2 linked regions of the Xenopus tropicalis genome follow. Each later gene encodes a partner of the first gene's protein in a complex. Links are inferred from orthologs where the notes say so. Each region holds a gene or a part of one and is shown in the gene's direction. Other genes may lie near its edges. The genes, in order: csk and pag1.

Region 1 (3,828 bases):
AACAGTTTGATGTCCAATATGTATAGATATACCAAAGTCTGCGGTATGTACTGACCCCAAAATGAAAATAGCGCCTATGGGTTTCTTGCCTGCCAACTCAGCTTTTGCACAGAGCCCCCTGACAGCGTATTATGTGCAGTAACCCCCCCAACTATACAGAGACCCCCAGAAAACCATATATTTTTGGAAAATACACATTCTGATGAATTCAAAATAGGTAAAATTTTTCTACACCAAAGTTACACATGGCAAAGCTATGCTAAAAACAGATCAGGAATACTAATACAGGGATAAAAATGCAATAAAACCACAAAAATTGTGCGAATTAGTGAAACGACAAAATAAGTCACACAACAGTGTAATTAGTGGTCAGAATATCTGATCCAATAGTCGCGCTGTCAAAATATACATTTTTTATGGAAAAGAAACTAAAAACAAAGTGGTAAAAAAAATTAATTTTTTTTAAAAAAGTGTTTGTGTATACATGTGTGTACATGTGTAAAAGTTGTGTGACAGTGTGTAAGTGTGTATATAAGTGTGCAAAATGAAAAAACAACTGCTAACTTTTCTGCTGTAAGTGTGTGTGAGTTGTGTGTAAGTGCAAAAAAACCCATCTTACCTGTCCTGAAGCAGGGATCGCAGTCCTGGTCCTCCTGCTGCAGTCTTCATCCGGGCCGGTGCTTGGGGGGGGGCAACAGGAAGCAGGAAGTGAAGACTAAGCAGCAGACGCGATGCGATCGCGCCTGCTGCTTGGAGGTCAGCCCTGTGATGATCGCGTCGCAGGGCCGACATGACAGTTCCCCTGGCTCATTGCCGAGGGGGCTGTCATCTCTAAAAACTCTCTGTAGAAGCAGTACATGCCGCTTCTGCAGAAAGTACCTTTATCTGCCAAACAACGTACGGCGCATGTTGTTGGCAGATAAAGCCTTTTACTGCAACAACGTACGCCATACGTACATACGTGAAAGGGTTAATCTGTGAAATTCGGTATGTTTGTGTAGAATGAAATACATTTTTATTTATATCTTGAAGTTCAGGTTCAGTGTTTTGTGCACCTTTTCTACACAAGCCCAACTGAGTGAACTCATGTGAAAAAGGGGGTATATTTTCCTCTTAAATATATTTTATAATCAGCGAATTTAAATCAATTATATACATATAAATCAAACCTAACTACTTCTTTTACCTTGTTCTTTCATTCTGTTACGCCCTTAAAGGTGGTTTCATGGCAAGATAACCCGAGAGCAGGCTGAGCGTCTCTTGTATCCACCTGAAACGGGCTTATTCCTTGTACGGGAGAGTACAAACTACCCTGGAGATTATACTCTGTGTGTGAGCTGTGAAGGGAAAGTGGAGCATTACCGCATTATCTATTCTTCTGGCAAGCTGAGCATTGATGAAGAGGAATACTTTGAAAATCTCATGCAGCTGGTGGAGGTATGAAACCGGAGCCCATCAGGGGCAAAGGAGTTGGGCAGATGGGGGAATCCAGTGTGGGGCCCATTTGGTGCTTGAGAACCTAGACTGCCATGAAAGGGGTGGGCTTCATGCAAAAGGGGCTGGGTTTGTCTTAATGGAGCCGCACAGTGATGTAGGTCTCTATGATTCATGGCAACACTGTGGAACAAAACACTCTTTGATGTCACAGCTGTAATTTGTTTGTTTGTGACATTACTTATACTTAATATCCCCAATTTAGACCTGTAACCTATCAAAAATGAAAAATATAAAATTAAAACTTGAGAATTTAAAAAAAATAAAAAAAAATACATAAGTATTGGTACGAAATATTAAATTTTAATTTACGCCATTCCTTCACATAAAAAATGTTACATGTGTCTTTCAGTTTCCTTTTCTAATGACACCCCCACCAGAAGGTGTATTTTTTGTGGGAATAATTTGAAATTACACAGGTACCAACATCCCACTTGGAATCAACAGCTCTCAGCTTGATATGCCCCAAGTTAACCTAGATATGCATAGTAATACTTGCCATATAAATCATCCCACACACTAAAATGTTCATACACAGGCTGATTGTAGCTTCCGATATCGGTCCCTTAAACCGATTTCGCAGCTTAACGGCCCGTGTTGGGGCAGCAACGACAGGCCTGCTGACTGACATCTGGCCTGAAATTGGCCAGATATTGATCAGGCAGGTTAAAAGATTTAGTCGGATCGGGGTGCCGATGCTGTCAAACGATTGAATTAGCCTAAATTTGCCCGATATCGCCCACCTGTAGATGGGGATATTGGGAGAAGATTCGCTCGCTTGGCAACCTCGCCAAGCGAGCGGATCTTAATGTGTATGGCCAACTTTATTTACAAACGTTTGCAGGGTTTGTGTTGGCAAAGAGGAGCCATGTTATTTGGCAGTAACATTTACCAGAAATCCACCTGAAGGGCACCCAAATGCTTTGAGAGGTATACAGAAAAATGTCAATGATTGTTCCCTTTCTCCCCCACACACCTAATGTAGTCCGTATGCCTAAGGTTTGTTTTCTTTTGTTGCTTTGCATGAATGGAGGACTTCAGTGGAAAGTATTTTGATGGCTTTCTATTAGCATTATCCTCACTTCTAATACTGATCATATTATCTCCTGTTCTCCAGTGCCTCTCAGTTATCATGTGCTATGTATAGCACTTAGTTACACAGAGCAGTATAACCGTCTCCTTTAGCATGTGAACTAAGAATACTTGTTGAAATGGTTGATATGGGGACATTTCCTGAATGGAAAGACCTTTGGAAAGTCATTGAATTCCTAACTGGATGGTAAACCATGCATGTTGTTCTTCCTTTGTTTGCTGTAACATGGTTTATCAATGACCAAATCTAAAATAAGATCATAGCATCAGGTACTCTGCATGCAAGTCTGCACTTTTTTCATCTGGTAAATTTAGAGAGCGCTCATCATGTATCTGATAGAGGCAGAGAAGTAATGAATATCTTAGAAAGCGTCTGAAGGTGGCCATACACTACAAGATCCACTCGTTTGGTGATTTCCCCCGATATGCTCACCTTGGGTGGTAGATATTCATCTAATGCAATCATTCGGCTAAAGGGCCAAACAATCGCATTACAGTGAAGGGAATATGAGCTGTCGGATCAAGGATCAGTAAACCGTTGTGGTCCTCAATCTGACGGGAAAATCAAGCTTGCCCTATCTACATTTAGCTAATTTTAGTCCAGATGTCAGTCAAGGAGGCCTTCAGATGGTCCCATGCATGGGTAGCTGCTAAATCAATCTGAAGGACCTGAATCGACAGCTTAAATCTGCCTGTGTATGGCCACCTTTACACATGAATTGGGCGGTGTTTATTCTACAGGTATGGGGCCCGTTATCCAGAATGCTCGGGACCTGGGGTTTTCCGGATAAGGGGTCTTTCCGTAATTCAGATCTCCTACCTTAAGTCTACTAAGAAAATTATTTAAACCGTATTTAAACCCAATAGTATTGTTTTAGCTCTAATAAGGATTAATTATATCTTAGTTGGGACTGTTTTATTATTACAGAGAAAAAGGAAACCATTTTTTAAAATGTGAATTATTTTATTAAAATGGAGTCTATGGGAGAAGGCCTTTCCATAATTCGGAACTTTCTGTATAATGGGTTTCCAGATAAGGGGTCCGATACCTGTATTAATAAAATCGGAGACCTTGAAGGCCTATGTCTACTAACTGTTAACTACTACCTTAATTCTCATTACTGTGCCACTCATATTTATCAAAACTGCATGCTGAGTAATTTTAGCACCCTCAAACCCCCCCCCTCCCCTAATTCTCAGCCTGCACTAAAACCAGAAGCACTGTGTAGTTCCACAGTGTCA
Region 2 (3,828 bases), on another chromosome or scaffold:
GAGCTAGGGTAGCCATGAATTGTCCACTTGTGGGTTATGCAACAGGCTGGCCACATGGACAGATATTTTGTGACTGGATCATCCATAGGGAAGGTCTAACAGCCAAAACAAGTATAGTGAGGAGATGCTGTGGTCCCTGTCACTTTCCCATCTATCCATCCCCCTTTTTGGTTGGTTGTGTGTATGTGCTTTTTAAAAGCTGCGGCCAGCATATCTGCAGGAGGGCACATAGTAAAATGCTGAATTTTGTATACAGATGCATATTGTAATTATCTGTTCTCTGCACAATGTATTTTGCCTATTGGTGTCACTATGTGTATGTATGCTCACAGCTTAAAGGGAACATTAGCTCAAACTTACACACTCGAGATCTTTTTGCTATAAATGCTCTAAATTGAAAGGTGCAAAGCTCATGTGTTTACATCCATGACAGCGCTTTAGCCTCTGACACCATGCAATGTGATAGAGAGGCACTCACACACAGCAACTTTCTATACCAATAACCATGGTGGCTGCATACAGTACAGCTATGGCTAATGTTCTTCTGAAACATTATTACATCAGATCCATTGAAGTCCACTCCAAGGTCCAAATTGTACGGTACTTCAGTTCCACCGTATTGCAGGATTTTTTTAGTCTTAATGGCCCCCTGACTGGTCATACGTGGCCAGATGTGTGGTATAGCTTAAATCACCGAAAATGCCCAGCCAAGTTGGGGCATGTATGGCCAGCTTAAGAGCAGGACACACAGAAATCCAGTGGGAGATTACATGGAATATAAAATGCATATATTGAGTTCTGTTTCTTCCTGTTTTGTTTGCTGTGTATGCCCGAGTGCTATATGTACATTTCTGTTACACTGTGCTTGTTTATTTCCAGGAAGCAGGACAGTGTGTTCCCACAAATGAAGTCCCCCTCTGAGCAGATAACCATACACTAAGAATGGCTCCCATTGTACAGGAGATGGCGGGAAGCCCAAGTAATGACCTGAGTGGGGAACAAGCAGCGTTCATGGCATGGGGTGGGCTGGCTGCTGTGTCAACCATCATCTTCCTCTCCATACTCCTCTTTCTGTGTTCCAGCTGTTACAGGCAAGGCTGATACCTTATTTACTTATATATAGCATGGGTAGGATACAGTTAACAAAAAGTAAGCAAGAAGATGTACTATCGCAAAGAATAAGAAAGTGGCAAAATGCACTTTGGCTTCCACAGTCTGGATGTTAAATCTGAAAAGCTTTTGCTGTTGAACTATAGATCCAGCATTCTCCTGCGGTCATCTGAGGGGCAATGACTTTATCTGTAGAACAGGGCACCACAAGCTATAGATTACTTTCCATAATTAAAGGACAATTCTCATCAAAATATCGTTTCCACCATCAGAGGTGCCTGCGCTCCAGATGGGGAAAACAATCATCAGTATTGTAACTTGGTCCCAGATCCCCTTTTGCTTTGCATCTGACTACAAACTTGATAGGGCAGCCTACACTATATAAGGTATTATTCATTAGAAATGAGAGACTGTGCTGAAACTAAAGGTGCTTATCTATATCAGGTAGGAACTACATAAATATGGTTTGTTTCTTTCAACAGAGAGAAGAAAAAGAAACATCAGAATGGGGACCATGAGAATCTAATGACAGCGGTAAGCAAATCTGCTATTAACTACATGTATGAACATGTGCATCTAATGTGCGTCTCAGGCAAATGTTTGTATGGAACAGCATATACCTATTCACACCCATTTGTTAAATGATAATTAAGCCACAACCTATCCCAGTGCCTACTGACACTCTGATACTGTAGAGATACTGTATAACTATGGCACTGAACTCAGATGTTTGCATTCATTCTACTACAACTGAGCCATAGGCATTTCAAATAATATAAAGATGTGAACTATTAGTAACTCCACTTTCCTAATGTTCCATGATTTTTTTATTATGTCTTTGGTGTATGGCTTGTTATATGTTACAGAACAGATGAATTACTGTAGCCCTGTTACAGCCAATGCAAATTGTGGAGATTTCAAGAAAATGTGTTCATTTGTCCATTTTTATCATTTTTCTTTATAACATTTACTGAAGCAAATATTACTTTTTGTACATATGCATGCTCTTTCTTTTTTGCATGGTGCATTTTATCTGCTTGTGGAATATCTTGTAAAGGTTACATTTCATAAAGTAAAAGTAACCTTTTTTTTTATTTGGAAACTGCAGCCTTCTGATAAGGAAACATACAGCCACTCTGTTACAAGCCTGGGCACAGAGGCACCGGCCAGTTACCGAAATGGTGCAGTCAGTAATGGTGATGGTGAGTAGCTCCAGTACATTAGCTAACATGGACAAAGGCAGCAGTCAGTGTAATTACATTAATTATCTACATTGTGACATCTGTTGTCGACATTCATATTGTCATTCGGTGCTAGGAAGAGAGTGATTGTACGTGTTCCTCATACACTCGTATCCGAATATCCTGAGCACCTATTTGCGTCGGCATATAACAGATGATTGTTGTAGGAAAGGAATACAGCACGTCGCCTTCACTTTAAAACTGCAATTTCCATAAACTGACACCAACCTTTATGTAGATGCTGAGAGGGGGATAGTACATCAAATTGATTATCTCTAGACTTTATTTCAGTTATTTGAAGTTCATATTACATTTAAGTTCCCCTTTACATAAACACAATTTCCAAAGTACAGGTATGGGTTCTGTTATCCGGAAACCTGCCATCTAGAAAGCTTTGGATTATGGGAAGCCCATACCCGATAAATTACATTATAATCAAATAATTCAAATATTTTTTAAATGATTTCCTTTTTCTCTGCAATAAAACAGTACCTTGTACTTGATTCTAAATAAGATAAAATTAACCCTTACTAGCTATTCATTTGTAAATGATTTTTTTTTAAACACGAAAAGATCCCCTATCCTGAAAGCTCCAAGTCCTGCACATTCTGGTTCCATACCTGTATGTATTTTCTTACTTTGCAGTACTGAGTAGTTAATTCAAAACGCCTCTGAATATGAATGTTGCTTTTCCTGCAGTTTCAGAAGACAGCAGCGCTGCCTGCATTCAGCCATACGAGGATGTACAGGGCTCCCTGCCTGACCTGTGCGACCTTCAGGACTGCACATCAAAATCAATAAGGTGCCACCAAAGCCGAGAGCTGCCTAGAATTCCACCTAACAGTAACCTAGAGACTATAAGCCCAGCAGAAGATGATGAGAATGAGTTACCTCTTGGGAATGAAGGGCCCTATGAGGTGCTAAAGGATAGTTCCTCCCATGAGAATATTATTGAGGATTCACTGTATGAAACTGTAAAAGAAATAAAGGATGCTCATGCACTGCCCCTCAATGAAGAAACAGAGAGATCCATGGATGCTGTAAGCCCTAAGAGACAAGAATTTAGGATAGAGGCTGGGGCAGAATATGCTTCTGTGGATCACAACAGGAAAAGCCGACAGAGCATCAACACACAAAGTGCTGGCAGCACCCCAACTTCCCAAGAAGAGGACGTTCCACCTCCACTTCCCAAGAAACTATTGGATGAAAATGAAAATGTGCAAAGCAAGGAACCGGAAGCAGAACCAGAAGCAGAACCAGAAGCCTTGAAGGAAAATATAGAGGGTGCAAGTCAAGATGACAAAGTAGGTTTATTGAAAAACTGATTTAAAATAAATCTCTGCTGAGATGCTCTGCAGCCACTGGAACAATATGTGTTAATATAAGATGTGCTGGTCATGAGTTTCTAAATATGATTTATGCGAAATTAAGTATATGAAACAACAGGAAGATTGTGTGTCGGCATTGTCAGAACCTT

What was found.
Region 2: the proteins of csk (region 1) and pag1 are in contact, whole or in part, in an NMR structure (PDB 2RSY), measured with the Rattus norvegicus proteins. The link is inferred for Xenopus tropicalis from reciprocal best matches to the Homo sapiens genes CSK and PAG1. Residues at the interface, in NP_001025210.1 of Rattus norvegicus: Thr88, Arg89, Glu93, Arg107, Ser109, Thr110, Asn111, Tyr112, Thr117, Cys122, Glu123, Lys125, Val126, Glu127, His128, Tyr129, Arg130, Ile140, Asp141, Tyr156, Asp161, Gly162; in NP_071589.1 of Rattus norvegicus: Phe291, Ser292, Leu294, Tyr296, Lys297, Ser298, Arg299, Glu300, Glu301, Leu305, Ile310, Met313, Tyr314, Ser315, Ser316, Val317, Asn318, Lys319.

What each region holds. Positions count from the first base shown.
Region 1 is NC_030679.2:94,053,235-94,057,062, reverse strand, and holds part of csk (tyrosine-protein kinase CSK), read left to right. Parts: intron 1-1,217; coding exon 1,218-1,437; intron 1,438-3,828. UniProt on the Homo sapiens protein: Non-receptor tyrosine-protein kinase that plays an important role in the regulation of cell growth, differentiation, migration and immune response.
Region 2 is NC_030682.2:123,791,149-123,794,976, reverse strand, and holds part of pag1 (phosphoprotein associated with glycosphingolipid-enriched microdomains 1), read left to right. Parts: intron 1-879; 5' UTR 880-942; coding exon 943-1,091; intron 1,092-1,592; coding exon 1,593-1,644; intron 1,645-2,218; coding exon 2,219-2,312; intron 2,313-3,050; coding exon 3,051-3,655; intron 3,656-3,828. UniProt on the Homo sapiens protein: Negatively regulates TCR (T-cell antigen receptor)-mediated signaling in T-cells and FCER1 (high affinity immunoglobulin epsilon receptor)-mediated signaling in mast cells.